Caenorhabditis elegans: one gene and its partner. The protein of the gene in region 2 interacts with the protein of the main gene of each other region in a pairwise test. Each region holds a gene or a part of one and is shown on either strand. Other genes may lie near its edges.

Region 1 (5,218 bases), on a different chromosome or scaffold from region 2:
TGTTCTTTCTTTTTCTCACTTTTTCTATTGTTTTTTGCAAGGAGAGACGGGATATTATAATTTCTGTTCTTTGAATTCTTATAAACTATGAAATAATGCAAAATTTAAAGATTGCCGAACAGCCACCGACCGTCGTGTCACGCAGCGCGGAGACGATGGATGAACGCGGGGATATTGAAAATTCGCTTCAGTTTCCAAGGATTTCTTGAAAGAGGTAATATTTTAGCTTATTTTAGCTTCAAATGTTTCTTTTATTTTTGCAAAATTGGTTTTTGCTATCATTCATGGCAAAACCGCAAATTGACTTAACTCTACCTTTAACTTTTCAGTTCATATTGTATTTTTCGCAAACAAAACACAATTTTATACAAAAATGTATTTAATTTCAGATTAGCCAATCGGAAACGCCACGGAAAAGCATCTACAGAGCAACCAAGTGCAGCAGAGACAGCGGAACGAGGGAAAATCCCGAAAAATTCTAATTTTTTTTTGCATTTTTGGAAATTTTTCTTAAATAAATATTATTTAAATAAACTACTGTTGTCATATTATAAGAAAAGAAAGTGAAAACTACAAGCGGGTGGAACGAATCCTGGAAGGATTCCATCTCACAGACATGTCAATAATAGGCGAACGATGGGCCGCTAACAAGCGAAATACAGGCGAGGGATAGGCCGCGTACACGCGTGTTTTTGGTTCTACATTCGCTTGCACGCGGCCTGCATGCAAGTCATCGCTCGCTTGTCGCGGGTTACCTGTGTATACCCCCGGTCATTAAACTTGGTTTAGTTTGCCATGATACTTCCGTTGATTTTCTCTAATGTTCTCCGTCTCTCACTCTCTCACCTCGCTTTATTTCCTTCGTCCATCAGATTGCAAATGTCGTGGTAAGAACAAACTGCCATTTTGGTAAGGTCATCGACGTAAGGTCCAAGTAAAGGATGTTCACGAACCCTTAGGTTACCTCCAGAGTTAGGATTCAGAAGATCTTTTACTCGTTCACAATAAATTTCCATATACGATACCTGTAATAATATTGTTAGTTTCCATGAATTAATGTATCAAAAATAATTACCTCTACAGAATATTGAACATCTTTATCATTGTTATTATCAATTCGTGCAAATAAATCATTGCACAAACGTGGAATTATACCCATTTCATCTGGATCATTGGCTTTTCCCATCATTGTATATGATTTTCCTGATCCTGTTTGACCGTATGCAAAAATGCAGACATTATACCTAGAAGTCAATTATTTAAACTATTAATCTATGTACATCAAACGAACCCTTCAAATGCGTGTTCCAACATTTCAACTCCGAGCTCTTCATATACTTGTTTTTGGGTGATAAAATGTGGGTCATTCCTCGCAAACGACCAATATGAATGATCAAAATTGAAACTGAAGTTCTCCTTGTTAATTGAATGACCATTTATTGCTGAAAATTGGAATATTTTAATTTGAAACAGTTCATACAGTATGCTACTACAGTATCATGTATTGTTATCAGGGAGCTTTGAATTGAGCATATTTTACAACCATTCTTTAAAATTAAAATTTAAAAATAAAACATTTAAAGACTGTGTATAAAAATATATCTTGGAGATCACTACTCTCCAACGCAAATATGAACACCTATCTATGCTTCAAAAACTCTGTGTTAGAAACACGGAACGAAACATGTGGTGGTATTGCTCAATGGTAGATCCCAATATTGAATCCCATACCTCCAGAATATCTTTTAATTCCTCTTATTCATTTCAAGACCCCGTCTGTTCTTTTTTATGCATTGCTTCTCTCTCATCTTTTCAATTATTCCCAAAGACTCTTGGACGTCACCAACGTTTTTCGCATCATTTTGGGACGGCAGCCTATCCTTTTTTCTCGGAAAATATTTCGTAGAAAGGGGTTAACTCAGTCTCAAATGTCACCCGCCATTTCTAAATCCCTTGGGGCACTTACTCGTCGTATTTCCATTTACTTGAAGGACACATTTTGAAGTGTTCGAGATTTCCCGTTGGTTGAATGGGCGAACACGTACAGCTACTTTAACCGATGACATCTGAAATTGTTTTAATTAATTCAAGAATTCGTTCGTAGAAATTGGAATTCACATGTTATTTTGAACTTGTTTATTGAGATTTATTTAAACAATTGAAGTAAGATCGATATATGCTAATAAGGAAAGAAGGAAAAAAGAAATTGACGAAATAAAACAGATTAATGGTTGATTCGATTAGAAAATGTTGGCTCAGGCAGGGAAAAGAAGCAAATGCCAAATGACGTGAATTGTGATCTATTTTCATTGAATTTCAATTTTAAGCATTAAGATTTGAACATTTTGAAATTTTGAAACAAATTGAAAAGGGGTTTTAAAAGTTTTTTAAAACTACAAGTTTACTGATGTCAAAAATTTTACCAACTCTTGAAGAAAAATCTTGAAAAGTTAAAGCTCATTGCGATCTTTCCAAAACCTTAGTAACATTTCAGAACATGAATTAATTTTTTTGAAACCATATTTTTAGGATTAAAATGCAGTCCTACAAACTTACAGAATCTTTTAAGTGTTCTATTGTGGTATTTTTGAATTTTAGCCCATTTTTGGGTACTTTGAGTTAAAAAGGGAATTTTTAACGTAAAATCTGAATTTTTCGAATACCGCCTTTCAAGTCAAGATAATAACTCCGTTCAGCCATGTCATTTTTCTATATCGTTTTTTTTCACACATCAACATCTATAACAAGACATTTGTTTCCCTTTCCTCTTGTTTTTCTATTTTTTCTTCTTCTATTTTGCAATTTTGGCTCACCTCTTGAGTCCTTCTTCTCAGCTCGAGTCAATCATCCAATGGCGTTGAGCCCCACTTATCGTCTCCTCGATGCTTTTCCTCTTCTTCTCCAGTTTTCTATTGAATGTGTATTCGAAAAAAAAAATGAAGAAGAGTGCTGAAAAAAAGGCAGCAATGAATCTTCGAATAGATGGTCGATTGGGAAAGAAAAAGTTCGGAATGGAAGAGAAAAGAGAAAAAGATAGAGATGGAGGAGGACGGAGCCTCGAGGCGAATTTAATTAGATGAGGAAAAAAAAGGGGTTGGGCTGAAATTAGAGAAGCCGAGAAGAAGCAACAGATGACGATGATAAACATGGAAAAAAGAGAAACAAGGAGAAAAAGAACATTCGAAAAAAGAAGAAGGCAGGATACAGAAAAATGATTGAATTTGGTTGGTTTTTGTGAGTCACAGTGTAGAAATTATAGAATCTGATTTTGGAAGCAAAACTGATTTTGGCACAATGTTCCCTAAGGTCAGCGAAAGGAGACATAAAGTTCCAATGGCTACTGTAATCAATGAGTATTTAATGAAAACTATTGATTTTCAAATTTAAAGGTTCAAAAACGAAAGGTTAAAACTATTGTCATATGTTAAAAAAAACCGATCTGTAAAGAATCAGATGGTAAAACATAACCTTTAAAAATGTAAACAATTTCAAAAGTTTAGCTAACACGGGAAAATCTCTTACAGATTTTCCTGGCCTATGGTGATTTTTCTATCCACGCTATTGTTTTTTCTCATTTTAATTTTATATGCTCACTAATTTGAAGTTGATATCACTTATAGAACAAGTTGCTCAAGACAAATTGTAAAATTTTATTTAAAATAAAAAATGAAAAAGGTTCTTACGGTAACATGCTCGCAACTTAAAATAAAAGTTAACACCAACAAAATGAATTTAATTAATATTATCTAGTTCAAAATATGCTTCAATCTTTCGGAGCCTATTTCAAAATGTATACTTGGTCCTTTAGTAAATGGTAATTCAAGATGCTTCAACAATTTTCAACCAAACATTTTTTCACGAAGATCCCCAGCAGTTTTTGAGAGCTCTTGGCTCTTTTAGGGATGAGCACATAATGAAAAAAAGGCGAGGGTTCCAGGCGAATAGTCTCTCGGAATGACGTTTTGAAGACGGGAACTGGAAGTTTTATCGTCACGCAATGTGTTTTTGTTGTTCAATTTGAAGCTGAAAAAGGGGCCGGAATGAACGGAGAAGGCGATTGGATGGGAATAAAAGAAGAATGTTGTGCTAAATGAAGAAATGACGTGAAATGGAAAGAAATCAATTAAATAAAGAAATGTTAATTATTTAGAAGAAGAGATGAAACTAGTAGGAGAAAGGGTAAGGAAAACTTTTAGGATATATATTGAACCATAAAACGTCAATGGAAAATGAAAGCACGGAGGGATAGAATACGAAAATATTCAATTGAAAGAAAAAGGTAGAAATTCTCATCTAGTTCGCTTGTACTTAAACAGTTTTGTCAAATTTTAATCCAATTATCAGGTGATTGTTGCCAAAAACATCTAGTGGAAATTCTGATCACTTTTTAAGAAAAGTACAAAATCAAATTTATTTTTGTATTAGAAAATGTATTAGATATTTATAAATTCAATACAGCTTTGTTTTATCTACTTACATTATACAATTGTTTTTTCAATCTCAAAAATTCAGCCCTCAATCTATTTCCATCACATATCAATTTCCTCCCTTTTAATCTCGACAATGATTCGGTTCTGAAACTCGATATTCTACGTTTGCATATATATACGTCGTTGCATGTTTTGGTGTCATAATTCAAAAAAAGTCCAAGCCAAAATTTGGGAAGAAAAGGAAAACCGGAAGGGATTTTTGACCATCATCATCTGATGATCATGAGTTGTTGGTTTTTGAACAGACAAAAAAAAGAAACACGTCATTTGAATAAAGGCGTATCTGGAGAAAAAAGAATGAGAAAAAAAGTAGAAGAAAGAAGAGCAAGTCTATGTTGTGTGGGGCTATTTTCAGGCAGGGAGGAAGCACAACGTCTAATGGGTGAACGAGACGCAGAGATGAAACGGCAGAAGCTCTGTGGACGACGCGGGCTCCACAAATGGATCGATTGGAGGCACGACGTCTGGGGAACAAGTCTCCGGGGATGAAATAGTGGACGAGGTGAAGAGATTGAAGACGAGTTGAGAGAGAAAAGAAGAAAATGAGAATGGATTTGGTGGAGAATTCCCGAGTAGGTGCTGAATAGAAGGTGCTTAAGCGTAGAATACACAGAAATTGAGCATTTCTTGCAAGGCATAAAGTACTTTTCAGTGTTATTTTTGTAAATAGATTGAGATCAAAATAACAGCACTGCAGCTTTATGAAATCATATATCTAATTGTAAAAA
Region 2 (3,504 bases):
TCCTGCAAAATTTCAGAATAAGCTCCGCCCCTTTCTTGGTTTTTTTTTTGAATTTTTTCATTGAATTTTCAAATCTTATTTAATTGGTGCCGAAAAGCTCAAAAACTTCGAATCAACACAAAAATAAGAAATTAAATACACAAACCTTTCCAATTCAGCAGATGTCATAGCTCGACTCGTGTCATTTATGCCCAAAAGTTCAAGATTTTTAACTTTTTCCAAAACTTCAAAATCAGCAGTCATCAGAATAACCATTGAAGAATCTCCGAGACTTTTTGATTTATTATAATAAAATGCAGAATAAATGAATATATCATAAGGTGCCGAATGAAATACTTCTTCATTTTCAAGATCTGGTGAATCGATTCGACTGGAAATTTATCGTTTCAATCATTTTTGAACGGTGATAATTTTTAACTATCAATACTTACATAAATTGAAGTAAGACTGCCGTTACAAAAAATAAAAACGAAAAAAGTAATACCACAGACAGAACCGATGGAATTATTCGTGGAAGCATTTTGGCTGATCTGACGCACTTGTTTTGTGTCCTAACGCGTCCCGCAAGTTATCTGAACATCTAATCTCGAACTACCTTCAATGAGTGCGACGGTCAAAATGAGGAGTAACAGTTTTCATTAATTTAGCAATAAAATAATAAGGCAAAAAATTTGAAAATCAAAGACAAAACAAATGAATTGAGTGGGGGAAATGATGGAAGATTTTGAATGTGAAGGAGCTGCTCGTCCGGATTTTTTCAGCTCAGTTTTTCTGGACAGGTAATAGGTCTGAATATAAAACATGATAGTGTGTGATGAATGGGGAAGAAAAAAACAATCAGAAATAAGGGGAGAATTGGCGGTAAACGAGGAAAACCAGAGTAGACATATAAGATGAAGCTGTGGATTGTTAAATTGCAATTGCAAAAACATAGACGATTGCAAGCATTGTTTTGGCTTCCCAACGGTACATGTACGAGGCTGAAAATGAGATTTTTTGAGCTATAAGTTGAATACCAACTTTCAAAATCAGAACTTTGTGAGTAATAAATTTATTTCCCTCTTTATTATTTAATGTTTTAATACAAAATGTTAACTCACAATCCGTGACTTTATTCCAGTAGGAAATCGTGCTAACATTGAGACCGGAACCGCTCGAGATCTGAAGGAACGACGAGGTAACCACATATTTGTATGGTTTTCCCGCTGCCACTAGCTTCTTCGTTATTTGTTCGACGGCCTTCTGATTCCACTGAACACTGTCCTTGTGGGTATACTGGGTGCTTGCGCCTACAACCTCGTCGAGTACCTGAAAGATTATTGGATTACGAGAATGTGAATAAACAATAATCAACTCAAAAATTATAGTTTTTCAAAGAATTAATACAGTAGACATATAAAATATCGGTACCTGCTTGATGATCATGTGAACGTCCTCCTCTGCCAAAGCCATGATGTTGAGCTTGTGAGAGCTGAATATTGAGTTTAATTATTAAAAAAGAGACAGTATAAATAAATCAAGTGCGCTCAAACGGCAATTGAAGTATCAGAAATTAAGATATAAACATCTTTAAATAATTTATTCTCATAAAACGAGAATACATACGACTAGAAAATAAAATCAAAAAACTAATATTAAATTGGAAATACAGATAATGCATGTTATGGTAGGAATGTTATGTCACAATATGTGAGTTTTGAAAATAAATAGTTAAATATATATTTAGGCTTCCGGCTCGAAATCGACATGAGTGAGGCATGCAGATAAATCGCGTCCGAGTTCAGCTGTTCCAGCGCAGAGAACTTTTCTTGACATGACGTCAAATGGGGATCCAGTTGGATCAGTGACAACACCTCCGGCTTCTGTGACAATGATAGAAGGAGCAGCAACATCCCAAGCGTGAATCCCGTATTCAACATATCCATCGCAACTTCCTTGTGCAACCATCACCATGTTGATCGCGGCGGAGCCAAACGAACGGTGTCTGAAAAAAAAACTTGGATTTTTTTCAAATAACTTTTATTATGTATAACAATATTAAAAATAATAATATCACATCATCCTCGTGATTTTTTTCATATTAAACTTTGTCCATCCAACATCTAACTTTTCCATCTTATCCATTTCTCAATTTTAGTAAAACTTTCAAAAAATTTGCAAACGCACAGTTCAAGAAAGTCACTAGATTTCGACAAGAATATAAAAAATATTTATAAGTACCCGTGACATTGTTTGTCGAACATAACAGTCTTGTAAGAATCAACAAATGATTTCTGCATAACAGGAGATCGAATTGAGCCAAGTTGAAGTATGAGCACACTTTCCGCAATGACTGGAATTTGCAACGTTTCTATGTGAATGTAAATAAAATTGAAAGTAAAACGTGCAAAACCAGCGCGGGAAGTGTGGAGGTATATTTTTTGTAAAAAAGTAATCAATTTTAGACCAAAAAATTAAAACAAACCCTCGCACACCAGCCATCACTTGATTTCGCATGTTTGACTGGGCAATGTCGAGCCAGCGATCGCCGAACTGAACACGATTATGCAGACCGAGAGATTGACAGAGAACTCCCTTTGAAAGCACTTCAAAAAGCAGGGTGCATGACAAGAAAAGTGCAATTACTTACATTGATTCTTTGATGCTCGGATTGGAAATCCATTTTTGAAAGCTCCCTTTCCGAGTTGAGCGAGATAAAGTTCATTAGTGATTGGATTGTATACGATTCCAGCACGAATTTGTTTTTTGATTGCAAGTCCAACGCAGATTGCGATCATAGGGATTCTATAATAACATAAGAATTTGTTTTTCGAGAAAAATTTGAGTCCAAATTAGAAATTAAATAACGCGATTTGCCATTATTTGAAGAGTCCGATTTAAAAAAAATCTTACCTATGAACAAAGTTAGTAGTTCCATCAATCGGATCAATAATCCATGTTGGTGCATCAGTCCATTCAATTTTCGCACCTCCGGCTACAGATTCCTCGCCAATGAATCTGAATCAAAATAGTAAATTTATGTAAATACTCGATTGAAAAAGAAAGTCCAACTGGTTGTCATGGAGACAATGAGTGAAATCGAGCGGACCGTGGGAATTCCTTGCTCTTACCTATGTCCTTTGAATCTCTCGGAGAGCCCTTCGATGAGAAGCTTTTCAACAGCTTGGTCAGTTTCAGTCACCAAATCAGTATTCGATGATTTTGTGTCAACCTTGCTTTCCGGGGAGTCAAACGCGGTACGGACGAGCTGAAAATGTTTTTTTCGAATATTGATGTTTTTTCAAATAATAAAATTTGTTTCGTAACTGAGGAATAGAGAATGTTGTTTTTCGAGTTACGCATTTGATTTAAATGTGCATATTTGTAAAATTAACAAAAATAAGACAAAGATAATAACGACGTTGTTGTTTTAGGAAACAGTTTGATTTTTTAATCCGAATTCAACTCACCGTTCCAGCTTTTTTAACCAACTCAATGGCGTAGTCGACGAAAACTTGCTCTTCC

The links.
Region 1: the proteins of dylt-1 (region 2) and unc-104 interact in a two-hybrid assay, tested with the Caenorhabditis elegans proteins (one study listed by BioGRID).

Annotation. Positions count from the first base shown.
Region 1 is NC_003280.10:6,992,782-6,997,999, reverse strand, and holds the start of unc-104 (Kinesin-like protein unc-104), read right to left. Parts: upstream 3,014-5,218; 5' UTR 2,814-3,013; intron 2,067-2,813; coding exon 1,967-2,066; intron 1,443-1,966; coding exon 1,292-1,442; intron 1,245-1,291; coding exon 1,076-1,244; intron 1,026-1,075; coding exon 847-1,025; intron 554-846; coding exon of another isoform or gene 390-553; intron 215-389; coding exon of another isoform or gene 109-214; intron 1-108. UniProt on the Caenorhabditis elegans protein: Motor protein involved in microtubule-associated anterograde transport. Regulates the transport of synaptic vesicle precursors in the axon of DA motor neurons. Regulates the polarized sorting of axonal proteins.
Region 2 is NC_003279.8:7,299,443-7,302,946, forward strand, and holds dylt-1 (DYnein Light chain (Tctex type)), read right to left. Parts: upstream 1,472-3,504; 5' UTR 1,453-1,471; coding exon 1,411-1,452; intron 1,309-1,410; coding exon 1,101-1,308; intron 981-1,100; coding exon 910-980; 3' UTR 623-909; downstream 1-622. Other genes in the region: BAH-4 (Glycosyltransferase family 92 protein F13G3.3), read right to left, coding at 146-370, 432-520; Inositol monophosphatase ttx-7, read right to left, coding at 1,723-1,984, 2,465-2,585, 2,630-2,784, 2,893-2,997, 3,111-3,247, 3,450-3,504.